Linked DNA regions of Macaca fascicularis. The protein of the gene in region 2 interacts with the protein of the main gene of each other region in a pairwise test. Links are inferred from orthologs where the notes say so. Each region holds a gene or a part of one and is shown on either strand. Other genes may lie near its edges.

Region 1 (4,882 bases), on a different chromosome or scaffold from region 2:
TGGCCCAGTGATGCTTCCTGCAAATGTGCTAAATCTCGTCTCTTCACCCTCCAGGAGTTTTCTAAGGAGAAAATCAAAGAACATAAGACATAGTAAAAATTTCTCTGGGCCTTCTGAGTTTCATTACATTCTGGGTATTGTAGTAGCTACCTTTGAAGAAATAGAATTACATAAGTAAAATATTCTATCAATTTGTTATAATACCTGCTATCACTTACTTGCATATTACGTCATACTCAGTGACAGAGAAAGGTTCTCCTGGACTGCCCCCTACAATGACTAACCTTGCCCAATAGTCCACTAACCACACCCAGCTACTAAGTCTTGGCCCTGCAGTAGAGATCCATTAGGTCCAACAAGAATATGCTGAAAAACTTGTTAGTGGCCAAATAGGAAAAAACAAAAACGAAAACAAAAACACAAAAAGCCACAAACAAAAGCCCCCAAACTCTAAAGCCAAATAACCTTTCTGAGAGTAGTCACTTTCTTAAACATTTAGATTTTCAGGATACGTACTATTTTTAAAGCAAATATAACTTTCATAAAAATCTTGCTGTTAAGCATATTTCAGAACTTAGCCAGGTGTTAATATGGGTGTATCAAGTTATAAATTGGTCGATAATTTTTACCATAAATTGTCTATTTAATGTAGTTATTCAGCTTTCCTGAAAAGAGAGATAGCTCTGTAAATGCAATTTATTCTTGTTATATTATAACTACTTTATTGGTAGTAGAAAATTTTTAATCAACGATTTTGTCCTTTGCGCTTAGTCAACAGCAAGGTCACATCAGTTAATAGACCTATAACGTATCTCTCTATCTATAAAAAGATCATACACATTTGTGTCTATATATCTAGATTTATATGCATATGCACATATATGTATCTATAGATCTAGATTAATATTATACATGATATAGATATAATTTATACTATAGTCTAGCATAAAATATAATACATATAAATTATCTACATATATAAAATAACTGTATCTATATTCTAATATATCATTCTATATCTATTCTCAGCCAGATGATGGCAATAGTAAGCTGTATAACAGAGAAACAGAGAAATAGAATGTCCTGGTGTTTGTCCTTGACATTATAAATTTGAAAAGCTGAAACCACTAGATGAAATATTAGAAACCAAAACTCTGTTCATGCTTCCAACATTTGAAAACATTTTTTCATAAAAAGTTTAAGCATATGCATTGAGATTAATCTGCACCTCCTTCGTCTAATTCAAAAATCTTTTGCTTCTACTAGTATTTATTCTTTTAAAGCTGCATAAAAAGAGAGAAAACTACACTTGCAATTCTTTAGAATAATTTTTTTCTAAGTAAGCAAGAAAACCAGGCGCTGAGTTGATGCCTGCACCCTGCCTGCTTTAACTTTAGTGGTGAAAGCTCTGCCCGAACAGCCTCTGCATGGTGGTTAGTGTTCCGGATACGCATGTAGTGAGCACCGTACCTGTACGCAGCGATTTCTATATCCAGAGCCATCTTGACGTTGAGGAGGTCCTGGTATTCGCGCAAATGACGAGCCATTTCCCACTTTGTGCCCCGAAGCTCATTTTCCAGCTGCTGGATGGTGTCCTGAAACAGACACAGAGAGTCTCCCTAGACTCATCCTTGCAAACAGCAACTTCCTTCGCAAACCACTTGCTACCCCTTCCCTCTCGCCTCCTCCCATCTCTATCCGCTTCTGCAAACCTCGCTGACACCCGACTCCCAGCCCCCCTCCCCCACCCCTTTTTTCTTTTAAATCTAAGGGATTCTCAAGGAACATACAAGATCAGTAAGACAATAGGACACTTCCTGGGCACATCACGCACGGAGATCAGTGGACTTAGAACACGTCTCAACAGGACACAAACATGCATGGGGAAACTCCATGGCTGACCTGGCCATTCCCATCTGAGCCCTTTGGGCTGAAGCCAATTTTTAGAGCTCTTCCGATCACTGCCGGAAAAGTAGAGAATACACGGGTTTCTGCATAAGCTATCCTAAAGTTGCTGATTTATCCACTACCGAATTTATCCCTCCTGCTTTAAACGTGCAAGCGTGCAAAATTAGAACTGGAAAAGAAGTACGTTTTTGAAAAAGGTCAAGACCTTTAAGCAGCTGGGGCAGGTGGGTGGGGGCGGAGTATGGAGAATGAGAGTGGCGAGAATGCTGATCCGAAACTACCCTAAGTCTGCGGCGCGCGCGCTCTAGCGAGCGGCCGCCAGAGAGCGCGGCGGAGAGGGCTCCTGGGCACGCGCCCAAGTGTCGGGGGCGCGCGGCGCTGGCGCTGGCGCAGGCTGGCCGCGCAGCCGCGGTTCCTACCTGGTAGCTGCTGAGGTCGTGGTTGTGGCGCTCCTCGATGTCGCTGAGCTGCCGCTCCAGGGACTCCTTGGTGCCGCGCACCGACTCTAGCTCGATGCTCTTGGACTGCAACTGGCGCCGGTACTCGGCGATCTCTTCCTTGGCGGAGCGGATGGCCTCCTTGTTCTGCTCTGCCGCCTCGGTGAGCTTGGCGTAGCGGCATTTGAACCACTCTTCGGCCTGGTGCATATTCTGGTCGGAGTGGCATTCGAGCTGGGAGCGGATTTCCTTCAGCGCCGTAGAGATGTCTGTCTTCAGGTAGTCTTTGCGCTCCACCGTGATGTGTGATGCCTGGATCTGGGCCAGAAGGTCGGCCACCTCCTCCTCGTGGTTGCTCCGCAGGAAGGCCACCTCATCCTGCAGCGACTGCACCTTCTTGTCCAGCTCCACCTTGACCAGCGACGCCTCCTCGATGTCTTTGCGCAGCGCGCGGATGGCCGCCTCAGTGTCGTCGCGCAGCCGCGCCTCCTCCTCGAAGCGCTCCTTGAGCCGGTGGATGTCTTCCTCCAGGTGGTCCGAGTCCAGCTGCACCTGAGCCTTCTCGTGGTTCACCATCTCCAGCGTAGCGCGCAGCTCGCGGATCTCCTGGTCGTACGCGTCGCCCAGCTGGGCGTGCGAGGCCTGCTTCTGCCGCAGCGCCTGGATCTCCGCCTCAATCTCCTTATTCTGCTGCTCCAGGTAGTGCACCTTCTCTATGTAGCCGGCGAAGCGGTCGTTCAGCCCCTGCAGCTGCTCCTTCTCGTTGGAGCGGGACAGCTTGTAGTCGCCACCGGGTCCGGAGCCGCCGTTGAGCAGGGACGAGGACTGGCTGAAGTCAAGGCTGCTCTCGGCGGAGCTGAGCATGGCCGAGCTGTAGGCGAGGCGCGGGGCGAGCATGCTGCGCTTGTAGGAGGAAGACACGGTGCTGGGCGAGCCGCGGGACCACGACTGCGAGCGGAAGCCGCTGGACGGGGAGCCGCTGACGCGGCTGAAGCTGGAGCGGGTCTCGGTTACCCGCCGGTAGGCGGACGGGTTGCCCAGCGAGTCCAATGTGTAGCTCATCTTGGAGGCCTTGGGGCGTGTGGCTGTCACAGCGTTCTGCCGGCCTCGCCGCAGCCCATTTATAGCCGCGGCGCTGGTCCCGGGCCAGGGCCCCGCCCCGTGGAGGCGGCGGCCGAGGAGGCGGGGACTGCGGGCACCGGTCGGGGAGGAGGGGAGGGGGGCGGCTGAGCGGTGATTCAGCGCCCGCTCCACGTGGGCCCAGGCCGCATGGGAACCCGGACTTTGCTGCCCTGGGCCCAGCCCCTCCCCCAGGTTCCCTTTCAGTCCCAGGCCACTTGTCGCCGGGCAGTCGCCTTCTCTCCATTTCTCACTTCCCGATTGCGTTTCGCACCCTTGGTACAAATATCGCCAGCGCCCTTTCTTTGCCTGTCACTGTCCCACCGTTCGGGCAGCGCTTCCCCGACCCCCTGGTCTCCTTGTTCTTTAGCCCTCTACCCTCTTACCCTCAAGCCTTTCTCTTCTTTTACCCTTTCCCCGATACTTTTTTCTTTACCCATCTTCTGTGCTTAATCCCATCCCCTTCTTTTTTGGCCCCTCTTCTCCTTCCTGCTCCGGCCTTTAGTTCGCTTCACCCTGCCTTTCTCTCAGCCCCTTCCTCGCGGACCCTTTTCTTCCAATCTTTCCTTCTCTCCGTCTCTTGCTTCCCCTCCCCCTGCATTCCCTCTTCTCCCCTCCCCCACCCTCATCTTTTCTTGCCTCCCTCCCCTTCCCCCACTCCTGTCTTAAAGCAGCTGGAGATGAGCGCCAAGGAGCTGGGTCTAGAAGACAAAAAGAAAAGAAAAAAAATACTTTGAGGAACCGTCTGCCTGAAGGCTTCGGGAAGGGGACAAAGAGAACAGGCCAGGGTAGTTTTTTGTATAAAAAGTGGGATATTGCGTTTTTAACGTTTGGGGGACGTCCGCAGCTTCCGCAGGGGCAGAAGGTAAGGCGCTTGTGCTCGCTATGGCGCCGGCAGCACCAAGGACAGCGCCCAGGTCGGGCGAGCGGGAGGTGCAGCCTCCCAGGGGCTTGTCACCCAGCCTGGCCTGTCAGGTTGGCGGGGGGTAGGGGGTTCCCTTCCCCCTCTTCTCTCCGAGCAAATACAATTTAAACCTGCCTGTAGTGACTCTCTTTGCAGGAGCGAAGCTGGAATCGCAGGCTAAGACTTCTCTGCAATGCAGGGCTGGCACAATGAACAGATTGCAGATTTTGAAAACAACCAAAATTCATTGAAGTCAGTTAACAGAAATATGTACTTGCAGCCCAGTTTGAGTTTTCTAACGTATGATTGTATAGGAGATGAAGAGATACAGGGCCTGAAATGTGAAGGTCAAATACTCCTTGGAAAGGAGAATTTGAAATCTGTTGGGATGAAAAGTCCAGGGAAATATAGTTTTTGATAAGTTTGGACACAAACAACTGCCTTGTCATCTTTCGGTTCAGTATCCCCTATGTGTAACTGCAGTGATTGAAAAGGCATCTGAATTAACTTTAAA
Region 2 (4,422 bases):
GCTCTATAGTATGATTGAGGATACAAATCGTGTGTCTCCCAGGGTCAAGACACAGTGGCTTAAGACAGTGGGGTTGTCCTGAGGAGGTTGTGTAGCCAGAAGAAGCACTCTGGCCCTTAGCAGGCTTTCTGAACGACACTCTAAGACCAAGCCAAGACAACAGATGAGTTACAGCACATGGTTAAAACATTACTCACCTGCCCAAATACTTCAAAATTTGCAGCAGGGAAATGAACACACTATCTACTAGAGGTACCAAAGAACCCTTATTTGGGGTTCAAATAATTCAAGGCAGTTATTAACTTGCAGAATTTTCAAATACATCATGACCTCACAGAATTATTTCATGATGGTGTCTGTGTAATACAAAACACTTGGGCTAGTGACGGTTAAGATGTCTTATGTCTGGGAGGCTTTTTAAAAAGATATATGTCGAAGTAGGAATTTGTTATTGGCAATGTGGCCAATCCTGACTCTTCCCAAGTTTTGCTTCACTGGAATTAATTCAAGGACTCCAAGTGCCATGCGACCAGTTCATAATTTTCTTTAGACACAATTATAAATAATTGAGGAATTTGGTTCATCATTGAAAAATGAAGTCCAGGAACAAGCTAATTATACTTATTATTAAAATATGTAGAGTGTATTTTGCTCAAGATGAAGCCATAGGGAACACAATCAGCACATTCACATATTGTGTTTTTGGTTTGTTTCCTGGACCCCAGCCAATTGCTGGCTTCAGCAGGGCCATCTCCTTGACTGAGGACAGAAGTGCGGCACAGCATGGAAGGCTGAGCAAAGCACCAGATGCCTTCTGGAAATGCCAGTGTGACTTCAGGAAATAACAAAAATGGCCTCATATCCATGGATCCTAGTGAAGGCAGGAACATCACTGTCCCTAATCACATATATGAGAACAGAAGCACAGACAGAACAACCACTGGATTAAATTTACCGATCTGTGGCAGGTAGTTATTAAGCTCAACACTCTGCAAAACTGTGAGTGTGGTTTCTACAGTGATGTAAATCAGAGTTTGGACTTGGACTTCCTCAGAGAATGCAGTGCTGTACAATACTAGATCTGTGGGATATGAATAGGAGTTACATGAGAAAAATTCACGATCCATTAAGCTTGGAAAGTTTGAGGTTAGATAAAATCAAGTGAGTTTACTTACTATAAGTTCTCTCTCAGACTAATATGCTAATGCGCGTTGTGGTTCTCCAAGCAGATATTATGGTATGGTGTATTTATCAAAGGCACTTGACCGGAGAGGGGACTCCTTTGTTTAGAGAGCATCTCTTGGGGCCACCTTCCTCAGTGCATTTTGGGAAGTGCTGCCTAATTGAAATCAGCCTGTTTTGCAGCTGTCTCAATAGGAGTCCCAGCTGGGCCAAAGAAGCAGCCCAGCAGGAGCCTGAAATGCCCTTGCATTATTGAGTACTGCACTGATTTACTAAGTACTACATTGCCTATACTTATAGTACTGAGTACTAACTGCCCTGTGTCACTGAGTTCTGTGCTGTCCTACTGAGTACTACACTGTGTTACTGAGCACTCCACTGCCTTACTGAGCACTGCACTGTGTTACTGAGTATTGCACTGCCTTACTGAGTACTGTACTGCCTTGCTGAGTACTGTACTATATTACTGAGTACTGCACTGTTACTGAGTACTGCACTGCGTTACTGAGTATTGCACTGCCTTACTGAGTACTGTACTGTATTACTGAGTACTTCACTGTGTTACTGAGTACTGCACTGTATTACTGAGTATTGCACTGCCTTACTGAGTACTGCACTGTATTCCTGAGTACTGCACTGCCTTACTGAGTACTGTACTCCCTGAGTACTGCACTGCCTAACTGAGTACTGTATTGTATTACTGAGTACTTCACTGCCTTACTGAGTATTGTACTGTATTACTGAGTACTGCACTGTGTTACTGAGTACTGTACTGTGTTACTGAGTACTGCACTGCCTTACTGAGTACCGCACTGCCTGAGTACTGTATTGTGTTACTGAGTACTGCACTGCCTTACTGAGTACTGCACTGCTTTCCTAAATGCTGCACTGCCTGGCATTGAGTGAAACAGGTTCCACGGGAAAACAGAACAGGCTCAAACATTTTATACAGGTTTCCCCTGATCCATCCACAGCCTCACTGTGGGTAAATTTCATAAATTTCCTGATGAAACACAGACTCTCAGGGATCCTTTCTTCAGGTGCAATCATTGCCACAAAAGGAAAATTGAAAGGTGGCATACCACTGAGAGGCTGCTGTCTTACCAAAATATCTTTTGAAAGTTGCGTATTAATTTTTCTAAGATAATATTAGATCACAGGAGAAGTAAGGTGAAAAGCTGTTAATTCCAGACTCTGAGGTTAATTAGCTCTCTTAGATTGTGCACCTGTAGGAATGTGTAACAGGTATGATGACAGAGTGTTATGCTTGGTTTCCTTTTTATAGAATCTTGAATCAGGAAATATTTTAGTCGCAGCAGAAGACAAATGCTACAGGGAAAAGAGACATTTTTCCAGAATTCACCCCAACTTCTCTCTAATGGGGGCTGAGATGAAAATATTCTCAAATCCTGTGCAAGCCATTCCCATGAATGACATGGAAGAGAAATTTTTGAGTGACATTTGGAAGGAAATTCAGCAAATCCGTCTCTCTCTCCATATTCCAATTTGCAGACTCCTCAGACTCATGAGAATGAACATGAGCCACCTTTCCACTGAAAGACCTCAAGGCTCTGTATCTCCATAATTAACTCAGGCACATTAGTTATGCAGGGGGAGGGGATAGCAGCCCCCCAGGTCCAAACTGTTGACATGGTGGCCCACCTCCCTCCCCCATCCCGTCTCTCCTCAGGCTTGTGCTTCCCGGACACCAGCTGTCATGCAGGAAGCTGCGGCTTCTCTTTCCCCCGCCTCCTTTGCCGGCTGGAGCTGCAGGATCATGGCCTGCAGAGTTTCCTTCACCATCTGGAGCTCCCTCTTGAGAGACTGTGGGCACGTTGTTAAGGAGCACATTCGAAGGTGATGGTGGCCCTCTGCAGCCTCCAAGGGATCGAAGAGCACGTGAGCCTACTGGAAGCAGATGGGCACTGCCACCTAATTGCAGTTTCAAGTTCTTTCAAATTGTATGAATTAAATATTAATATAAATTTTATACTTTTTCTTTTAAGAATGACTGCAATTTCTACAATGCCTGAGGTATTGACTATCTCAAGTCAGGTCTTAAAAAGGAAATGGAAGAGTCAGCTCTTAGCCGAGACAGATGGCCAACTTAGATGCTCAATGATATGCAGTTGGCGTGACCATAACTCCGGCTAAACCCCAAGTTGGGGCGGGGCAACTGTCAGATGCAAATACTCTTGACAGTGGAAAGGGCAGAATGCTTGAAATCAAAATCTCCTCGAGAAATACAGGATTTGGGGTCACCATAAGTCGGGAGAGGCATTCTGGACCAGACTCAGTTATTAACACGGTCTCTGTTCACCATTAACCAGTCTTGTCACCCTATGCAAACCGTTTAAAGCCTTAGTTTTCTCTTGAGATGATGACTTTGAAACCCCTCCAGGTCTAACCTGCTGTTACCTGTTAGTATATTCCCAGGGACTAGGAAGGGCACTCAAGACTAGATAGAGTCCATCAAAGGGCAGAGAGTTTGCCTTTTCCGGTTTGGTTGGTTGGTTCTTTTTTTTTCTTAAGCTGTTGGGCTCTTCGTTTTCTAACCTATAAAGTTATTTCTCATATGGAGGAAACAATCAAAGAGAACTTAGCAAACAGTAATAGATAAGGCTGTAGTTCTCTTAAGAAACGGGTTCTCGTCTGGGTGTTCAAGCAGGGGAATGTTTAACCAACAGTGGTTTTTCTGTCCATACATCATCCAGTTCATCCTTTCCCTTTTTACTTGTAGTCAGAACAACTCTAAGGCAAATGCAGGGTGAGAGTTGGGTTTAACAAGCAAACTGATCCATTTTCATCCAACAGGGACCAAGGGGGAAAGTAGAAATATGCTGACACCACCTAAATATGCTGAAGTCATCACATGAAGCCAGACCACTCCAATAGTACTAGATCAGACACGGAGGGAATGGAGAGCTTTGGGAGAGGGAGTCTGACTGTTTATACACCACCTACACTACCATGTGGTTCTCCCAAAGTGCAACGTCAATGCAACGACAAGAGAAAAAGACACCCTTACAAACCACTGTGGAAAGCGTTCCCTTTCTTTTTCTTTTTTTTTTTTCTTTTTTCTTTTTTCTTTTTTGAGACAGAGTTTTGCACTTGTAGCCCAGGCTGGAGTGCAATGGTGTGATCTCGGCTCACTGCAACCTCTGTCTCCGGGGTTCAAGTGATTCTCCTGCCTCAGCCTCCCAAGTAGCTGCGATTATAGATGTGTGCCACCATGCTAAT
Region 3 (5,121 bases), on a different chromosome or scaffold from region 2:
CTTGCGGGTTCAAATGATTCTCCTGGCTCAGCCTCCTGAGCAGCTGGGATTACACACATGCGCCACCACGCCTGGGTAATTTTGTGTTTTTAGTAGAGATGGGGTTTCGCCATGTTGGCCAGGCTGGTCTCGAACTTCTGACCTCAGGTGATCCACCCGTCTTGGCTTCCCAAACTGCTGGGATTATAGACATGAGCCACCATGCCCAGCCTGGAAAATTTTTTATATTCTCTAAATACCTTTCTACATGTAGAATTCTGTATTGTCTTGTACACATGAATAGACCATAAAATGTAATATAAACAAACATAAAATCCTAAAAATATATTTCGAAGTTTTAAGAAGTTTACTGAAAATTTTAAAAATATTTCCTAAGAGCAAAGGAATACAGTAGTATTAATAGTAGCAGTATAGAGGCTTGGTAGTAATAAGCTTATGACACTTGCTATGCGCCAGGGACTTCTGTGAACAGTTACTCATTAAAAACAAAGCCACATTTGTGAGGGAGGTACCATTGTTACCCTCACTTATTGGTGAGAAAATTGAGACACGGAAAGGTTAACAACACTGATGTAATTTATACAATCCCTAATTTATAAAATCACTGATTCCACGAACAAAGTACCTAATCACACTGCTCTAACAAATGAAAAACAGCCTTTTTCAAGAAAAATATCTCACTCATCAAATATAACTGATAAAAATGTTTAATGTAAGTAATGACACTGTAAACGGATTTTTATTCTGAGAATTCTTTTTTATGCAAAAGTGTTACTAAAACGAAATCAATGGGAAAATGATTTAGGAACAAAAATATGATATACCAGAGATCTTTTAAGGACTATTTCTCTAGTATACAACAAGGGATATCTGTTTACATTAAATATAAGCATAAACATGACAGTCTTAGTTTTCAAGCATGTCAATGATATCTTTTTTTGAGACAAGGTGTCACTCTGTCACCCAGGCTGGAGCACAGTGGTGGAGCGCCTCGGCCTCCCGATTATCTAACATTACAAAATGTGTGCCAGCACACCCAGTTAACTTTCTATTTTCCTGTAGAGACAGGGTTTCGTCAGGTTGCCCAGGCTGGTGTCTGGGCTCCAATGATCTGCCACCTCAGCCTCCCAAAGTGCTGGAATTATAGGTGTTAGCCACCACACCTGGCCAATGTCTTCTTTTAATATAAGAAATAGCACTGTATTATTGCTACGTTTTCAGTTTGACAAAAATTCTGATTTGGGCCATAAAGGGAAAGTGAAATATTTACATCATTATTTATTTAAGAAACTTCATGTTTCTAGAGAAAACTATTTCTATCTAATAATGAAAGCCTGGTAGCAAGACATAAAATGATTTGCTCTAAAAGCAAAAGATGCATCTAACAAAAAAGCGAAATCCCTGACATCCAGCTTTCCTAACACTGATCATTATCACTTTTATCTTAAAAGAAGAAAGTAATTTTACACTCATCTTCACATGATTTTCAGACAAGGTCTCTGTACTTTTACTTTACTTCCTAATTCATTACCTTTTCAAAGAACTTGGGCCAGTCACTGCTGTGAATGTTTCTTAAATTACCTCTGTCTTCAATCTTGTAGTGTCTGATTTTCTGGTCTTCAAGCCAAACAATGAAGTTTCTAAATTCTGTTTCATCTGCAATAAAAAACATCACATAAAATAACTAGAAGCACTATATAAAATACCTCCTTCTCAGGTATATGTTCAGATATATGTTCTTGTGGAATTTTCTTAACTTCAAAATACTAAATTAATTAAACCAAAAGAGGGAGTTGAAAGTACAGACTCTGGAGTTGAAAGTACAGATTAACAATGATCTGTTCAAATCCTGGCCTGAATTCAAATTCTGGGTCCAGATACTTACTGGTTGTGTGAACTTGGGATAATCACCCACATTTTCTGTGCCTCAGATTCTTCAGCTACAAAATGAGGCTGCTAACAGAACTTACCTATAGAATTATGAAGATTAAAAGAAGTTGTTTTATTTAAGAAGTTTCTTAAATAAAATAAATACGGATAAAAACAGTGCCTGGCACATAGTTTTGCTATTTAAGTGTTAAATATTAATATTCCAGTTCCTTTGCAGACAGAAAGGGGAGACAGGGCAAGGTTAAATTTATAGCAAAGTAATAAAGTAAAATAAATAACAAAAGTAAAAGAAATTAAATGACAAAAAACTGTGACTACTGTTGTCATGTAATGTTAACTGCACATTAAATGCATACATTGTTTTGTTTAATCCTCCCCATACCTCTTTTGAGGTAGGTAATATCCCGTTTTACAGAAAAGAACACTGAGACTCAAAGATTCCAATTCAGAACAAGGCTCTATTTTCATCGTTACTTTGTTAAAGCAGAAAAACAACAGATTATAATTTGATATGCTTCTACAAGAGATCAACAAAACACTGACATCCTGCTTAGATATTATTTTCAATTTGTGAGTCAAATTCAAGCTTCCATTATAAGGTCTTGAGAATTATACAATGGTCTGAGTATCACAAGTTATACTTGATCACTTTCAAACTTACCAGTCTATCACAGGCCAGAACTATACAAAGGAAATGAGTAGTAGTGGGCAGTAGTTTTGTTACAGTGAGTAGCAACGTTATTACTTTTTAAAATTCTAATGCTGTAAAATCCCAAATACCTTTGTATTTACAATTCAACCTTCCCATTCATCTGCTATTAACTTTTTTTTGCAAGACCACACAACACAACTAGCCCGTTACTACACGCGCTTACCCTCCCACTGTGATCGGTCCTGACTTCATTGTGTACTGTCTCAAACCGCTCAGTGAGTTCTGACTGCTTCCACCCCTCGCACCCCTCGACCCTTTAGCTCCTGGCAGGCAGTGAGCTAGTCTTCAAGTTAGCACCTTCCTCAGCATCCAGCACCGCGCTGGCCCATAATTAGCAGGTGCTCAAGGTATCGCCTAATTACCCAGGGAACCGTGGAGTTGAATAGTGAGTGAGAAAGACGAATGCTCTTCCTTTTATGTGCTGAGAAGCTAGTTACATGGTGTTTGGAGTTAAGCAAGTGCAGAAAGTAACATGCTGAGACAGGAGTAGGTGAGAGGACTTTGAAGCCGGGAAGGGGCGGCGAAGAGCCGAGGTGCGTGGCGACCCAGAGGAGAGGGGCCCGAAGGCCGGCGGCGGAAACCAGGCCGCCGAGGGTCCGGACGGGGAGGTGGGGTGGGGGCACTGAGGCTGGGACCGCCGCCCAGGTCAGGGACACCCGGCCGGCCCAAGGCCGTCGCCTCACCTTTGCAGTTGAAGCCGGCGGGGTTGTGGTAGTCGAGAGCCGTCAACTTGCGTCGGAACATGGTCCCCGCTTCTCGCTCTGGTCCCCCGGGCCTCGGCCGGGAGAGAAGCGAGGTGGAGCGGGCGGCGCAGGCACCGGCGACGCGGCGAGAGGGCGGGTTGGCGCTTGGACGCTCCGAAATGACGGCGGCCTCCGCCAATCGTAGCTTAAGCGGTGGCCGCCGGCAAATGCCCACCAATCGAGGCTCCGACTGGGGAGGCGGGGCCACGTCGGCGCACGACGTCGCTCAAATAAACTTTATTGTCAGCTTCCTGGTTGTACACTAGGCAGAAAACCACTGGGAAGCTACTTTCCTTTCTTTCTTGCTATGACATGCAGAGAATAGTATATGTAGGCTTTTAGTATTCGCTGTACCTCCCGTTGGATTACAGAATTACTGTTTAGTGTTTTGAGTGCATTCATTCATTTATTCGTTCATTTATTACTCCTCCTACATAATAGGTGCTCTTCTAATACAAAGACGACAAAGCAAAGTCCCTGTAGTAAGATGCTTTCAGACTAGTTGGGAGTGATCCACAGGTACACATACAACTGTTAATACGATGCGATCGTTCCAGATATCCTCAGCCAGAGTGAAATCTGAAGCCGAGATCGTCCCTCACTCCCGTCCCTCACTCCCGTCCCTCACTCCCCTTCACCCTCGGTCACAGCATCCAGTAGGTCACCAATTCCTGCCATTCTCTCCTAACTCTCAAATCCCTCACCTCCTTCTGGACCCCACTGATACAGCCACAAATCAGACCCTCATCACTTTTGCTTACTCTAATTATCTGACTGATTTCTTAGGGCCAGTCCTGCTTTCTCCACACCATTCCCCCACACAGCAATGAGAGAGATTTTTCTAAAGCAAAAAACTGGCCATAACTTTCTCTGCTTATGTTTCAGTGATTCCTGGTTACCTCCTAGAAATAATCAAAACTCTATATTGTATTTAAGATCTTTCCTGATGCAGTCTCTACTTGCTTTTCAGACAGTGGAGAGAGCAGTGAACAAGACAGACCAGGCCCCTACTTTCATGGAGTTTAAAAGGCTAATGAGGGAAACAATAAATAGATAAGTATAAACTAAGGCTTGAGGATGGTGAGGCATTCACCGTGCAGTCAAAAGGGTAACCTAGTTTGAGGGAAGAGGCTGTATAAAGCAGGAAATGAGCAACAGCATGGCCCAGAGGGACTAGAGCTTGTAGCGGCTGAGGGTGAGAGGGAATGACAGCTGATAAGACTATAGACAAAGGCAGGGGTCTGATTAGGACAAGCCTCTCATGGCAAGCTAAGGGAAGCTATTGAAATTCTTGAGGGTAAGCCAACTATGTATGTTTCATTTCATTTCAACAGATTTTAATTAAACACTTAGGATCTGTGGAGTATACAAATGAGTAAACTACAGTCTCTCTTTTCAGGAAATTTAAGTATAATGACAAACATAGATGTGTAAATAAATACTTATAATCTAGAGTTAGAAAGGGTAAGTGAATTACAAGAAGTATAAAATGTACTACAAAGAAGTGCAGGCCGGGTGCAGAGGCTCATGCCTGTAGTCCCAGCACTTTGGGAGGCTGAGGTGGGAGGATAGTTCAAGCCCAGGAGTTTGAGACCAGCCTAGGCAACATAGTGAGACTTTGTCTCTACTAAAACTAAAACTTAAAAAAAAAAAAGAAATAAATAAATAAAAAAGGAAAAATTAGCTGGGCATGCTAGTGCATGCTGTGGACCCGGCTACTCGGGAGGCTGAGGTGGGAGGATCACTTGAGCCTGCAAGGTTGAGGCAGCAGTGAGC
Region 4 (5,089 bases), on a different chromosome or scaffold from region 2:
AGAACTGTAAACTCATTTTTAAATAGAAATAAAAGTATTAGTTAACATCATCCCTTCCAACCTTTGCTTGGCTAGCTTGGGCTCACCCTTTTAACACCTGCTTTAAAAAAAATCTACCTAGAAGGACTTCCTTAACTGCTCTAAAGCAAGGATAAGAGCTCCTATTACATACTGGGACAGACAGTATAATGTACGTTTCCTGTCACGCCAGATTAGACACTAGATACTTTGCAGGTTTTTGTTGTTGTTGTTTATGCTTCCCTACTAGACTGTAAGCTCCTTAAGGCTTACAGAATGTTTGCCATTACACAATTGTGTCAGTATTTAACATCCAATCATCTAAGTACACTAAAATATTTCTGGAACAAATAAACTGTAATTTTTAAATTTTTTCATTCAAGGGATTGTACCAATTTCTCATTTTTAAAACAGCTATTCCATGACAATTCAATTACTATCATAATAACCAGTCACTGATAATTCTTTTCATTTCTCAGCCTATACATGATAAAGAAGACTAAAGTTTAATAAAACTTTAATGTTATGCATTCAATCACGGAAGTGTTGCAAACTGACTACAGGATATTATGTTTTCCTATCATTGAGAATTTTATTATTGTGTTTTCCACAACTGAGCTAAAATTTTTCTTAAAAAGCCGATTCAAGGTTAGGTTCTCATAACTACAACATAATTACGGTACTGTTTTATTGTTTATCTTCTAGCTAATCTGGATGTATGTAAAACTCCGAAACAGAATAACAAGTAACTATTGTAGCAAATAGAAGACATGTGATTTGAGAAACAAGCACTATTTTGTGTGACTTATCCTAAATACATTAATACACATAAGTATAACTATCATTTGTTGGTGATTACTCATAAAGTGGGGTGGTGAGAAATAACCTGATTGGTGAAACAATTTGTTAAAATAGTCAAACTTGGAATAAAGTATGCAAAAGTAGACACCTCTGTTGATTTATAAAATCAGACTTGGGCCTTTCATTTAGCCTAAAGAAAAAGAAATGCTATTTCATCTAAAACAAGCAAGACCCTTGAGCAAACAAATAGACAAAAGTCTGTTTATGATTCAATCCACTGCATTCCTAGTAAGTAGTGTCTGTATATCAAGAATGAATCCAGTGACCTAATAATAATTTCCTTTAAGTGTTTCTCATACCACAGGTCATGACCCATTAATGGATCACAAGCAGCATTCACTAAAAATGAAATCGAATAAGATATAAACTATCAGAGGACAACACATAAATTAAGGGAAAGTATTGTTTCCAGAAGCTTTTGATTCAGTTGCATATGTGACCATGTAAAATGTATTTCTAAGTATGGGCTACAATAAAAAACATGTGAAAGCTACTGTCTTGCATATAAGCCCCTCCCCATTACTATTTCTCCCCAAAATCGGGAACTCTACACTTCAATTACTCACAAAAATGAAGTGACCTTAATCCAGGGTTCTGACAGTTTAAGTTTGATCTCACAAGCTCTAAAGTCAAACTACCTGAATTCAAACTCAATTTCTACTATTTCCTGAGTGAATCTGGACTTACTTAAACGATCTATATATGCTTCACTTTTGTCATCTGTAAAATGGTTAATCATATCTCCCAAGTGTGGTAAAAATAAATACTACTACAGTGGGTCAACACGTTTTACTATTAACAGAACAAACTGAAGAAGTGACATATATATATTAGAAATATAAGAGAAACTTAACAGAAGTTATCTTTGGTGTGTTATCTTTGATGTTTGTGAGCGTGTGATGCCTTTCATTTTGTATTTTTCTGTCCTATTTGGGACAATACATGTATTTCTAATATAATGTTTCTAATGTATATAACATTATTACCTATATGCTTAAAATATCAACAGTAAGTATCGAGGCAGTGAAATTATAGTCCTTTGTTTTTCTTTTACAGTTTTCTTTATTTTATAAACATATTATTAGGTGTCTTTGAGAGAAAATCATCAACTATTTGCAAAAAAAAAAAAAAAAGACAAGTGTGAGGTCCAGAGCTTAAGAAATTCACACTTTTTGAGGGAGAACTTTGTGCCAGATACGTCTCACCAAATGCTCGCACAACATCATTTTATGATTTTTGCCCATGAGAAAACTGAGGCAACTGACACAAGGTAAACGGTCTGCTATACAACAAATAATAGTGGCCACAATATCAAAGCCTGTATTTCTTCTATCATCATATAATGCATCCAAATATTGTTCTCCAGTTGTTTCACACTGGCATATTTTGGTCTCCCCATCTAGACTGTAAACTTCTTTAAAAGAAGGGAAACTTTCATAAACTTCATTTCTGTCTTTCATTGGGTTACTAAGGCTACAATAGATGCTCAAACATTTGCTGGGTTGTATTAAACCTCTTTTGGTCTGGACTCTCCTCAAGGGACATACCTTTGTAAAAACAAAATAGCACACAAATGACAAAACTACTCTAAAGCTGTCCAAATCTAACTTTATTCCTGCACACCGAAAACTAAACTGTGCAACCACTGAAGAATTTCTTGGATTCATTTATCCCCCCACCCCAACCACGCCCCCATCACCCAGACACCATCAAAAGAAAGGCACCTCTAGTCTTCTGGTGAGGTGTTGAAGAACCATGACCACGCCCCCACTTTGTCCCATCACAATAACCTGCTTTCTTGTCCTAACTGGACCCTGCACCCAAACCCAAAACCCTTAATAAACAATTCAAAAGTCTCTGACCTGCAGCGAAGTGCAGGGGAGAAGACTTCCGGCCGGCCATGTCCTTTGCATTTACGTTTGCCGCGTCCACCAGCCTCTTTACCCGGGACACGTCCCCATTGCGACAGGCCTCCAGTAGTTCCCGTAGGGCCCCGCTCACTGCTGGGACCCCTGTCCCAGGTCCTGCTGCCCCAGGCCCCAGTGGTGCTGTGCTGCTAACTCCGGCCGCCTCGGGGCTCTCCGCCAAGCTCGATCCAGGGGAGGATGGAGAGGAAGATGAGGAAGAAGTCGGGGAAGAAGAGGACGACGGTGAATTGTTACTGCCACTGCCGGCTGGGTTGGGAGCAACCCCAACGGAAGATGAAGTAGAAACGGCTGGGACCACGGGAGCGGCGGCGACGGTACAGATTGTGCTGGTGGTATTGCAACAGCTGGTACCGTCAACCGGGTCCGGGGATCGGGGCCTGTCGGGCGGATCCCGACTGCCATCCCCCTCCGGCAGCGCTAGGCCGTGCCGCGGGGAGGCGAAGGGGGCCAGGCCGCTGGCCGTGGGAGAGGCTGGGGTGGTCCCCGGGGCCAGGCCAGGGCTGAGTGGGGGAGGAGGTGGCGGCGGCGGCGCTGAAGCCCCTGGGGCGGGCTGGAGCTGTTGTTGATGATGGTGGTGATGATGCTGAGAGCGACGCGACGCCGCCATCTTCGGACTCCCCTAGCACTGTCACTGCGGCAACGGCCCCCACCGCCCGCCCTCACTTCCGACCGTCGGACCAATCAGCATCCAGCGCACAGGAAATGATGCTAGCGGGGTAGGAGGGGCCAAAGAGAAAGAGGGAAGTATTGGGAGCTTAGGGAACAGCCAAAGGAACGGGGCGGGGCTTTGTCACTGAGAGGCGGGGTTTGTGACGTGGTGGCGGGCCGGCTGGAGAGATTTGAATGCTGGAACCAGCTCCTGCCTAGATGAGAAACATTTCTTGCATTTCTCACTTTCAGGCGGCTTGCCCTGGTCCGCTCTGTTTCCCTCAGTCTCCCTTTGCTTGCTCCAGAGCCAGCTGTTGAGATGCAGCTCAGAGCAAGCAGAGAATGTGTCGATTATCATCTATTAAGCGTCCTCGTCTGAAAAATGGAACTAATAGTACCAACCTCACAGAATTATTAGCGGGATTAAAAGAGCTAACATAGACAAAGCGCTCTGCCAGTAAAACACAACTATAATTAGCCCATTGGTAATTTTTAAAATTATAGTATTTTCCAGGTGTGTCCTTGAGCTCTTGTCCCTTCCCTATAATTTTTCTCACCCTATGTGCTTTAATTCCTCGTTTTTAAATGCTGGTTTAGATTGCTAGGATTGGCATTCCAGCTCTGCCATTTGTTGTGTATATATGAGCCATTTCATCACTCTGCCTGTTTTTCTCTGTAAAATTGAAATAATGGTGCAATAGGTGTGAATTATTAAAATAATGATTTTTTTCCTATTCTGCTTATCTCTGAAATTTTATTTTTCACCCTACGTTTAACTAATTATGAATATATTCCTTTCTTTTGAATTCTAGTTTAGCTTAGCCTCTCCCACATCCCAAACGGATAAAAACCTGATTGCAAGGCTGGTCACGGTGGCTCATGCCTGTAATTCTAGCACTTTGGGAGGCCGAGACCCGCGGATCACTTGAGCCCAGGAGTTCGAAACCAGCCTGGCCATCATGGTGAAACTCTATCTCTACAAAAAATACACAAATTCGCTGGGCAAAGTGGCACACGCCTGTAGTCCCAGCTCCTCAGGAGTCTGTGTTGGGAGGGTCACTTGGGCCCGGGAGGCAGAGGTTGCAGTGAGCTGAGGTCACACCACTGCACTCCAGCCTGGGTTACAGATTGCTGTCCATTACTCACCATCAGGTCCTATTTTTCAGCAACTGCTTTTTCTGTCTTTCCCCTACCTATGTATACTTTTTTTTTCTGCCATCAAAAGATGTATCCGTGAATGAGATAATCCCATTGAAGACTCCATACCTACTGTTCAATAGTAAAGCCGGCATTATAGAATTATACACAAACAGCATTATTCCAATAGAGTGAACACAGATGGAAATTCTATGACCTAAGAGAAACAAGATTTAGATGAGTCAAGCAGAATATTAAACCAGGTGATACATTGTTTCATGTGTTCATTGTTAAATATGATTTATGTGATGTTAATATTCCCATTCAAATAAATAGATGAGTTTATTTGGGGTTACTAACTAAATACAATAAGGTCAGGAACATAATTAGTATTACGAATGGCATTTATTTTCATGTAATCTGGGGTTACAGATTATAATTCTTAACATTATCCAGCTGTCTGATAAAATTGTGCCATTGTTCACGGTAGACACCTA
Region 5 (5,084 bases), on a different chromosome or scaffold from region 2:
AATGACAGAATAATTCGAAATACGCCTAATTAGAAGCACAGTACGCCAGAATTTTGACAAAGCAATTTCCAGTTCGGTCCTTGTGCATACAAAATTTTCCATCAGAAAGAAAGGGGTAACCCTGGTGCTAGGGACTTTGAAAATTTGTTTGAAGGTTTCTCAGATGTTCAATTGAATACATTTATAATCTATCCAGCCTGTCAGGTACAGTGCTATATTCCATAGAGATGGGGAATCAGAAGGGAGGTTTAGAAATATGGCTTTTCTAAGCTTAAGACTCTCCACCAACGCATATGTTTATTGCAGCACTGTTCACAATAGCAAAGACATGGAATCAACCTAAATGCCCATTAACGGCAGACTAGATAAACAAAATGTGGTACATGTACACCATGGAATACTATGCAGCCATAAAAAAAGAATAAGATCTTGCCCTTTGCAGCAACATGGATGGAGGTGGGGGCCGTTATCCTAAGCAAACTAACACAGGAACAGAAAACCAAATACTGCATGTTCTCACTTATAAGTGGGAGCTAAACAGTGAAAACACATGGACACAAAGAGAGGAATAACAAACACAGGAGCCTACTTGAGGGTGGAGGGTGAGAGGACAGAGAAAATCAGAAAAAATACTTGTCAGGTACTATGCTTATTACTGAGGTAATGAAATAATCTGTATACCAAACCCCTGTGACACATAGTTTACCTATATAACCTGCACTTCTACCCCTGAACCTAAAATAAAAATTAACAACAAAAAAAGACGAATCCCCAGCAAGAGCCTAGGCTAGAGACCAGAAGTGTGGTGAGAGTCAGTGAGCCAAGCATAGAGGGCCACACATGGTGGGTGTAGTCCTTGACCCACCCCCTCTTGCAACATGTTACAGGTCATCAGTCATTTCCAGCCTTATGCACCAAGGACTTAACCTTTCTCTGATACTAAGTGCACATCAGACTTAGCTCAGCCACTGGGCTGCCCAAGGAGGAGGGAGAATATCCCCAACATAGGAGTCCCACAGGAGACTGACCCGAGTCTGCTATTTATTTTGTGATTTGAGCCAGGGTTGGATAATGTGTGCCATACGTTGTGTTTTGAAAGGCCCTGGGAAAAGTTACACATTGGACTATTATTGGCCATTAACACCATTAACACTGTGTGAATTTATTGTCAGAAATAAGCCTCCAGGAACTGAGCTCTGCTACAGGTGCCTGGAACAGAAAATGAACAGGACCTAGTGTTTGGATGATACAAAGGGGAAAGAGGAGTGGACACCAAAAGGTAAAAGTGGGGTCCTGAAAGGGAAGGTGGAAAGGCTCACACTTCAAGATTTTTCCCCTAGAGCTAAGAAAATGCAGACTTTTGCCCCAGTTGGGAGGCAAGAGGGATCAGCTGGGTTTTTGATTGACTGGTCAATTTGTTTCTAGCCCCAGTTATGAGTTCCCATATCTCCCTTCCTCGTCCTCATAATGAGTATTTCTGGATATCACTTAGCCCCCAGAACCTTGTCCCTATATTCCACCTCTTTAGAATTCATGCTTTTGGGTGCTGGGCTGTTTGTGTATGAGAGAGAAGAAAGAAGAGAGAGAAAATATAATCCATGTCTCAGGAAGAGGAAGAAGGGAAGGAAGGAGGAAGAGAAGGAAGGTAGGCTTAGACCTAGGAAGCAGAATAGAATGACAGGGGCTCCCTCTGATTTCCCCAGACCCTGGCAGCAGCTCCTGTCATCCAGCTTTTTCCTCTGCACATCAACTAGAGAATGAACATATGAGCCAATCAAGTCTTGACTTCCAAAGCCACAAGTCTCCCCCACAAAGCACCCCACCCCCTTCCCTAGAGATGACCTCCAGGGCAAGGTAACAGGGTTAGGAAACAGATGGATGTGCAGAGACCCTCCAGAGCTAACCTGACCCCTGACCCCCACCAGTTCATGTCCTCTAATCCAACTTTCCAAAAGGGAGAGCAGATGCATGGGACCCCGGTAACTTACTGGACTCTTTGGGACAAAGATTCCAGACAAAATGGTTTCAGACATGTGGGGACATGGGGAGCTACACACAGAAGCTAGTGGAAGCCACAGGTACAGGGAGATGGGGAATCCCTGGCCATCAGAGAAACAGGGTCACAGGTGGTGGAAAACGAGGATGGTCAGTGCCGGTTCCCGGGAGGGACTGTGTAGCCAGGGAGCAGGAGGAGCAATGGACCCGGGACATGGACGGTGGCAGGGGCGCAAAGATCTAGAAAGACATCTCAGGGCTCTACACCTCACAGCAAGCAGAGACTTAGTGGGTGTGTATGAGAGGGACGCTAACTCACACTTCCAGGAATGAGTAATTCTTATGAATAGCTCCTCCGTTCCCAGAACTGAAGAGGAGGACAAGGGGGAGGTCCGAGGCGCCCACCGCCCTCCCAGCCGGGTCTGCCTCTCAAGTGAGAGGGGCCGGCTCCCCACACGCACCAGGCGAGACCCATGTCGTCCGCCCCGCTCCTGTCAGTCTGCAGCCGGCGCGGCTCCGGGTCCCCGCCGCCCCTCTGTGCACATCAGGGCCCCGGGCCCCCGACGGCGAGGAGGGGTGCCGGCCCAGGGCTGCCGCCGGGAGCCCCGCTGACAGGCACGGGGGAGGGGGAGCCAAGGGAGGGGCCGGGACGCCGGTAGCCGGAGCGGCGCGCTGCAAAGTGAGCCAACACCGCCCATCCCCGCGCTCCGGGAGAAGGCGGCCCGAGGGGACCGCCTCCCGCCTCCCCAACACGGACTCCCGCAACTGGGATGAAGGCGGAGGGGCGCGGAGTTCCCAGCCCCCACGCCCTCCCCAAACGCAGCCAGCACTGCCATAACAACCAGAATCTCGGCAACTCCCGCCCCGACGCCGAGGGGGCACTGGCCCCCAACACGCACGCGGCAGCAACAGCCCTCCTTCCCCAAACTTGTCCAAGACGCCGCGTCCGAGGCAGCAGCCTTCAGCCCCGGCCCCCCGCGCCCTGCCCAGCTTACCTGTCCGGAAAAAGGCGTCCACGTCCGAGTCGGCTGCTCCTCCTTCCTCCGCTGCTCCCTCAGGGGGGTTCATGACTGTGGGAGGGCGTCTGAGGGCAGCCGGGGGCCAGAGAAGCCTGGGGCCGAGGGCTGCTAGGCGCCCGATGGGCGGAGGGCGCGGGGCGCAGCGGCCGCGGCCGCAGAGCTGGCGGCCAGGGGGGCTTCGAGGGCGGGCGCTGGGCGGTGGGGCAGGGGCAGAGAACGCCGAGCCTCCCTCAAGCGGAGGCGCGCGGCGGGCTAGGGGTGCCTGCCGCCAGCTCCCCCATGGTACCCCTTCCCCAGGGCGCTGGCCGCCTGCTGTCTGGCTAGGGCCGGGAACCGAGGCCGGGGCGCGGGCTGCCTGGGTGCCCGCTGTCCCCCAGCAGCGGCAGCTGGCTCTCCTGCTCGCCTGTCTGCCTGTCTCTATTGTTCAGCCCTGCTCCGCTCTCTCCTCTTTATTTTTCCTCCTCCCTCCCACCCTCCCTGTCTCTCTACCTCCTCCCTCCCTCGCTCACTCGCTCACTCGCTACCTCCCTCCTTCGCTCGCTCGCTCTCTGGCTCCCCCTCTGGCTCCCGCCGCAGCCGCCGCCTCCCCAGCTCCTCCCCCGGCTCCCGCTCCCTCAGTCGCCGCCAACAATGACCCCTGGAGCGCCGAGCTGAACTGAAGCTCCAGCCCGGGCCGAGGGCTCGCTGCGGGCCCCCGGCGGCGCCGACGCCCCCTGTCCCAGCTTCCCTGCGCCGGCCTCCCAGGGAGCGAAGCCTGAGTCCCGAGCTATTGTTCGAGGCTGTGCTAGGCCGGCTTCCTGAGCTCGGCAGGAAAAGCCCGGGCCGAGGAGGGGGCGGGGCCGCCGGGCGAGCCCGGGGCTGCAGGGCGCAAGCCAGCCTAGTCCAGGGGCTCTGCGGCCCGGGCGCTGCGCGCTCTGCTTCTCCGCTCCCGACGCCAGTGCTCCACCCGGCCCAGCGGCCACCTCCTCCGCCCACTCCACTCCCAGGTGTGTGAGGGGAACACCAGGCTGCCCGCCCGCCTTCTCCGGATCTTCAGATCGGTCCCCAAGCTGGACTGACCTGTCCCTAGAGGCCGGCCTTTCTTCCCCTCCTTCCTGACGAACTCTCTTCTGTCTCCCTGCCCTCCTGAGCCTCTCACATTTTCCTCACCAGCTCGCCACAATTTCTCTCCTTTTTGTCTTTTCTCGTCCTTTTCCCCTTTTCAGCGCCCCTTTAAACATCTCCGCCTGTCTCTGTGACTCTTTGTCCAGTTTAATGCTCCTGTGATGTTTCCCTGCCTATCTCTCCCTCCCTCCGTCACTCTCTTGTCCCTCGTTTGTCTCTGTCCTGCCTCCGTACTTGGCCCTATCTCCGTGCTCCTCTTGGACAGCTGTCAAAACTCTCTAATCCCTGGGGCCTTCTCGGTTTTGTTCTTCTCCCTCATGTGAATGGAGAGATCCAGTTGGCCAGGAGAAAGGAGGTGTTACAGCAAGCTGAATTTCAATTAAAGTGGGGAGAGGGGCTGGGGAGGAGTGGGGATGACTGCAAAAAAGAAAACAGATGCTGTATGGGGTAATTAATGTGGTGATTGTATTGTGCCCATCAGTTTTTAAGTAATAATTAAACAATAATTATCCAGTAGTGTGTTTGTGGTTCTAGTGACTGCAGAGCCCACCAAACAGAAGGTCTTTAAGACCTGAGTACTTAATAAAGTCTGCTGAGCGCTGTTTGCTGTTGCCTCATCCAGACAGATGGAGAAGTGGTGGCCTGACCTAATGAGTTAAAACACGCCTAATAGGAAAACCAGGTACTTGTCTGAAGTTGATGACTGCAACCCATCAGACAGAATCTCCTGGAACTGTTTGTCTCTAGTAACCTATTTGGTTCCACCTCTCTCTGGGGGCCAAGGCAACTGGGGCCTATGCAGATCCACCAACTGGGTAACCCTAGCAGCAAATAAAACGAATTAAATGGCCAGGCGCGGTGGCTCAAGCCTGTAATCCCAGCACTTTGGGAGGCCGAGACGGGCGGATCATGAGGTCAGGAGATCGAGACCATCCTTGCTAACCCGGTGAAACCCTGTCTCTACTA
Region 6 (4,923 bases), about 170 Mb from region 2:
AGAGGCCTAGATCCCTAGGGCATGCCCATGTAGCCCCTTCAGCCCATCCACCATGAGGGCAGCCATGTTCCCCAGGGAATACCAGCCTTGCAGAAGAGCTGAGTTTGGCAAGATAATGGTGGGGCCTGTACCCAGACCCAGGTAAAGGAAGGAGGCAAAAGACCTAAAACCGTTGGCCCTGGCCTTAAGGGCTCAATTAGAATCCTGGGCCTCTAGGATTTTGCAGGTGCACACAAGCATGTATCCCTGAGGAACGGATGCGGGACTCACACAGCCTGTACACGCACCTATGCATGCACACAGGTACATGGGCCTCACCCAGGTGAGAAGCATGAGTGTCTATGCTCAGCAGTGAGGCTTGGGGGAGAGCGCAGGGCTGTGGCTCACCTGCAGGATGGGGATCTCCCTCTCCAAGGTGTGACACTCCTCCTCCAGAAGGCCCCTGGGACATGAGGGAGCAGCAGCCAGAACCCGAGACATAGGACCAGGGCTCAGCTGAGTCCACCACATGGCCGCAACCTCCAGCCTCAGCAGAAGCCCCACCCAACCTGTCCTTCCTCAGCCCACACTGCCCTCTGCTTCTTGGTGGGCTGCCCCAGCATAGACTTCTGGCCCCCACAAGGCTCCTTCTGGGCAGGAAGTGTCTTCCCCTCACCTACCTCACCCTGGCAGGCATCCTTCTCTCTCCCGCACTTCTGCGCTGTGATTCTACTTGCCTCCATCTTCCCTCACATCACAGCCCTTCCTCTGCTTAAAATCCTCTGTGGCTACCCCCAGAGTCAAGATATTTATATTTATTTTTAAAACAGGGTCTTGCTCTGCCACCCATCATGACTCACTGTAGCCTTGCCTTCCAGGGCTCAATCAATCCCCTCTCACCTCAGCCTCCCAAGTAGCTGGTACAGGCATGCACCACCATGCCCAGCTAATTTTTGTATGTTTTGATAGAGATGGGGTTTTGCCATGTTGCCCAAGCTGGTTTCGAACTCCTGGGCCCAAATGATCCTCTTGCCTCAGCCTCCCAAATTGCTGAGATTATAGGCAGGCTCGGCCATGGCATCTGTACTTGGCTGCTTCCTGAAAGCAACCTCACTAGCTCTACAGCAGCCAGCTCTTTCCATCTCTCAGCCTGACACACATGGGTCTCCCCACCCAGTATGTTACCTTCCTCCTCTCTCACAATCCCAGCATGCCAAGATCCATCCCTGTCTCCACCCCTGCCTACACACATGCAGGTGCCCCTGGGCCTCACCTCAGATGTCTGGCCACCTGGTCAATGTTGGACACGTTCAGTTGGTCCTTGATGATGCTGAGATCTCTGTGACCACTGCTGGCAATGAAGTCACTATTACTCTCCCCATGTTGCTCACCCCAGGCCTTCAGGACCCAAACATCACTTCTCCTAGACAACTGTCTTTCTTTTCTCACAAAAACAATATAATATAGTGCAAAGAGTAAGAGTTTGGGAGCCTAGTTTTGCAAATGAGCTCTGCCACCCTTCATTGTGTGTGACTTCAGACAAAGCACTTATCCCTTCTGAGCTTTAGTTTCTTTTCTTTTTGTTTTTTTGTTTTTTTGAGACAAGATTGTGCTCTGTTGCTCAGGCTGGAGTGCAGTAGCACCATCTTGGCTCACTGAAGCCTTGACATCCCAGGCTCAAGTGCTCTTCCCACATCAGCCTCCTGAGTAGCTGGGACTATAGGTGTGCACCACCACACCTGTTCAATTTTTTGCACAAACGGGGTCTCACTATGTTGCCCAGGCTTCTTCTTTTTTTTTTTTTTTTAGAGACAGGGTCTTTGTCACCCAGGTTGGAGTGCACAGGTGCAATCATAGCTCACTGAAGCCCCAAATTCCTGAGCTCAAGCCATTATCCCACCTCAGCCTCCCAAGTAGCTGGGAATCCAGGCATGTGCCACCACGCCTAATTTTTTTTTTCACTTTTTGTAAAGATGGGGTCTCCCTGTGTTGCCCAGGCTGATCTCAAACTCCTGGCCTCAAGCCATCCTCCTGCCTCAGCCTCCTAAAGTGCTGGGATTACAGGCATGAGCCACTATGCCCGGCCTTTAATTTCTTCTTGTGCAAAGTGCAGACTTTGCCCACCTCAGGCTGTGTGAGGATTAGAAAAAGAAGTTGCTGCCATTCACTTATGAATGTTTTATCTCATTCAGTCCCAGCTGTAAATACCATTTGTAGCCATCCTCTTTAGCTCTCCCTGCCTCCCTAACCCAGCCCTCACTCCTGTTCTCTAGGCCAGAGGAGCAATCGCCTGCTGGACTTTCTTCCCTTTTCCTACAAAGCTCTTCTCTCTTTCATCTCCCTGAAAACTGCTCCTCATACGACAACACGCAGATCAAACCACTTTCTCCAGGAAGCTTTGCCTGTCCCCAGGCTAGGCAGGTGTTTCCTCTGGGTTTCGGCAGCCCTCATGTGCTGATCTCTACCACAAGTGGTGGTGGAAGTGCCCAGCCCGTGACTGGAACCTCCTGCATGGAGCCAGGTGCAACCCACCAGTTGGCTAGGGCCCTCTGCCAAGCAGGGACAGATCCCTTTCTCCTACCATCACCTTACCTGGGCCTACCACCTCTCATCTGGAATATCTCCTGTTCTGGCAAATCACACCTGGGCTCCTCCAAGGCAAAGTGCAGGACCCTGGGGCTATACTGGACCCAAGCTTGGGCCTGGTCCCTGCAGAAGGTGCACAGGAAGGAAGATGAGAGGCTCCTTTCTGGAAACCACAGAAAAGGCAACCCTGGCTCTTTGTTAGGGGCAGGGCTAGCCCACCTGGTATCTGGGGAAAGGACCCAGGCCTGAGGCTCCCACCTGCCCTCACAGATGGCTTTGTGGTGGAGACCCTGGAGCAACTGCCGGAGTTCCTGGCGCAAGAGGTCCTTTAGGAGAGGCGGTGGTGCCAGAAGAGAAGAGGGGTCAGAGATGGGGCGGGAGCTGGGGGCTTGAGAGGATCGAGCCTCTTGGAGCAGTGCCCGTAACATCGCCACCTGCAAGGAGAGCTGGGATACCTTGCGACTGGGGAGGGGAGTGACCGGAATGGTGGGGGCTGGGGGAGTGAGGGAGAGGACAGAGTCAAAGGGGAGAGGGCCAGGACAGTGAGACCCAATAGGATCTCGGGAGTTCCCCGGCAGGGCCAGGGACCCGCAGGAGGTGGGAAATCACACCCAGGGGCGTGGCCCACCTTCCCTCTCCCCACCTCCGCCCGCAGCTCCAGGCTCAGGTCCACCGCCGCCTCCCCCAGAATCCTCTTCACTTCGGGTCGCTCCCGGAGCGGAATGTGCTCCTCCACCAGCTCCCACAGCGAGGGGGAGTGACGAAGCATGACCCACCCGCGCCGCCGTCCCCAGCTCGGACCTACAAGCCGCAGGTCAGAGCGCGGGAGGTACCGCGGGCCCGCCGGCAACGCTCACCAAGCCCCGCCCCTCTATGAGGACCGCCCTCTTCCAAGCCCCACCCATGCTCTGCCGCCGGTCCCCTCAGCTGGGATTGCCCCGTCCAGAACCGCCATTCCTTGGCGCGCTCTTCTGCCAGGCTTTTGGTCAACTCGTATGCCGCGGGCCCAGAAGCCAGGCAGTGGGAACCAGCGCCCTAGCCCCACCTCTTCCGCGTGGCCATCACCCGGGAAACCGCGCCGCGACTCTAGGCCCCGCCCCCTCCCGTGTGTGGTCCGGCGGCGGCGCCTGCAGGCTGGGAGTTCAGACTTAGTGCTCCACCGAGCCCTGACCCCAGGCACTTTGGGCTCGGCCCTGGGCACCTTTAGGCCTCAGGGAACGTGTTAAGACCTGAGAAATCTGGGTCCACGGGTTTATTACTTCGTCGCCTCCACTGGCCCGGAAGCAGTGCAAGGACAAACTTCCCCTTAAGGCCAATAGAAGCCTAGGGAGTGACAGCGTTCCGAGAACCAGCATGGCCCGGATCAGGTTTACTTGTTGGGCCAAGTGCCCTTCCACCACAACACACTCAGGGTAACCATGTTCAGGGACCCGACCCCCACCCCCAGACAAGGGAGCTGCTCCATTCACGTTTTTTACTAAAGCACCCACACAAGTTTCTGTGCAATGTACAAACACGAGCCGGCCCTGGGGCTCCTGCCTCCTCTCTCAGACAGGGAGGCGGGCACCAGACTTACTGATCCAAGCCCCACCTGCCTCCCATGCAAAGGCCAACCCCAAGATCCCAGGCAGCGACACAGCATCCCCTCTGGTCCCCTCCTGGGGCAGCTCCTCAGCAGGGGGCGCACCAAAGCTTGCCCCCTACAATGTTGAATGAAAAAGGTTTCCCCTCCCCTGGGAGCAAGGGGGTTCCCAAGAGCTGAGAATTTCCCCCTGGAAGAGACACTGCCCCCTAGACATACCTCCCACCCTTCCAGGCCCTAGGGGACTCAAGGGGGGAAACTGAGGCACAGAGAGGTGGAGTGACCTAGCCCAGGCCACTCCGCGAGGCAGTGCAGGGGCTGGCCCGACCCTGACAGTGACTGGGGCTGGGCTAGGGGGAGGGGGTCAGGAAGGAGGGTTGACTCCAAAGAGGGCCACACTTGTGAAGAGCCTGCCCAGGCAGGAGGCCCCCAAAGTGGGTTCTGAAACTTCCAGGTATAGCTAGGGGGCCTATTGAAGACCCTCGGAAAACAAAGCCCACAGTCTCAGTCCTGGAGGTCCTCCACAGAGCAGCTGCCAGCCAGGCTGTGGTCAGTCCTCTGGCAGGCAATCCTCGGCACCGAGAGCCTCTGTCCATTAGTGTCAGCCCCGAGGGGGCCACGACGGGGGCCGCCCAATGTCCACTGTGATATTGGTGAAGAGTGGTTGCCGAGACACCTCCAAGACCTGGTACCGCACTGACCCAATGCCGTCCCGCTTCATGGTCAGCTTCGTGTTTTGAATCTTGGTAAACCTAGATAGGATGGAAATGGTCTGT

Evidence for each region. The genes of interacting proteins can lie anywhere in the genome.
Region 1: the proteins of DISC1 (region 2) and NEFM interact in a two-hybrid assay, tested with the Homo sapiens proteins (2 studies listed by BioGRID and IntAct). The link is inferred for Macaca fascicularis from reciprocal best matches to the Homo sapiens genes DISC1 and NEFM.
Region 3: the proteins of DISC1 (region 2) and RTRAF interact in a two-hybrid assay, tested with the Homo sapiens proteins (2 studies listed by BioGRID and IntAct). The link is inferred for Macaca fascicularis from reciprocal best matches to the Homo sapiens genes DISC1 and RTRAF.
Region 4: the proteins of DISC1 (region 2) and TNKS interact in binary tests that used the Homo sapiens proteins (3 or more experiments, as listed by UniProt). The link is inferred for Macaca fascicularis from reciprocal best matches to the Homo sapiens genes DISC1 and TNKS.
Region 5: the proteins of DISC1 (region 2) and KALRN interact in a two-hybrid assay, tested with the Homo sapiens proteins (2 studies listed by BioGRID and IntAct). The link is inferred for Macaca fascicularis from reciprocal best matches to the Homo sapiens genes DISC1 and KALRN.
Region 6: the proteins of DISC1 (region 2) and CCDC24 interact in a two-hybrid assay, tested with the Homo sapiens proteins (2 studies listed by BioGRID and IntAct). The link is inferred for Macaca fascicularis from reciprocal best matches to the Homo sapiens genes DISC1 and CCDC24.

What each region holds. Positions count from the first base shown.
Region 1 is NC_088382.1:28,095,329-28,100,210, reverse strand, and holds the start of NEFM (neurofilament medium polypeptide), read right to left. Parts: upstream 3,441-4,882; 5' UTR 3,408-3,440; coding exon 2,328-3,407; intron 1,596-2,327; coding exon 1,471-1,595; intron 62-1,470; coding exon 1-61. UniProt on the Homo sapiens protein: Neurofilaments usually contain three intermediate filament proteins: NEFL, NEFM, and NEFH which are involved in the maintenance of neuronal caliber.
Region 2 is NC_088375.1:17,053,720-17,058,141, forward strand, and holds the end of DISC1 (disrupted in schizophrenia 1 protein), read right to left. Parts: intron 3,008-4,422; coding exon 2,869-3,007; 3' UTR 541-2,868; downstream 1-540. UniProt on the Homo sapiens protein: Involved in the regulation of multiple aspects of embryonic and adult neurogenesis. Required for neural progenitor proliferation in the ventrical/subventrical zone during embryonic brain development and in the adult dentate gyrus of the hippocampus.
Region 3 is NC_088381.1:119,881,319-119,886,439, reverse strand, and holds the start of RTRAF (RNA transcription, translation and transport factor protein), read right to left. Parts: upstream 3,441-5,121; 5' UTR 3,347-3,440; coding exon 3,286-3,346; intron 1,657-3,285; coding exon 1,532-1,656; intron 1-1,531. UniProt on the Homo sapiens protein: RNA-binding protein involved in modulation of mRNA transcription by Polymerase II. Component of the tRNA-splicing ligase complex and is required for tRNA ligation.
Region 4 is NC_088382.1:11,351,418-11,356,506, forward strand, and holds the start of TNKS (poly [ADP-ribose] polymerase tankyrase-1), read right to left. Parts: upstream 3,441-5,089; 5' UTR 3,415-3,440; coding exon 2,742-3,414; intron 1-2,741.
Region 5 is NC_088376.1:159,202,220-159,207,303, forward strand, and holds the start of KALRN (kalirin), read right to left. Parts: upstream 3,441-5,084; 5' UTR 3,064-3,440; coding exon 2,991-3,063; intron 1-2,990. UniProt on the Homo sapiens protein: Promotes the exchange of GDP by GTP. Activates specific Rho GTPase family members, thereby inducing various signaling mechanisms that regulate neuronal shape, growth, and plasticity, through their effects on the actin cytoskeleton.
Region 6 is NC_088375.1:190,766,599-190,771,521, forward strand, and holds the start of CCDC24 (coiled-coil domain-containing protein 24), read right to left. Parts: upstream 3,441-4,923; 5' UTR 3,335-3,440; coding exon 3,209-3,334; coding exon of another isoform or gene 3,194-3,208; intron 3,059-3,193; exon of another isoform or gene 3,000-3,058; coding exon 2,785-2,999; intron 2,689-2,784; coding exon 2,572-2,688; intron 1,331-2,571; coding exon 1,253-1,330; intron 768-1,252; coding exon of another isoform or gene 752-767; exon of another isoform or gene 618-751; intron 443-617; coding exon 388-442; intron 1-387.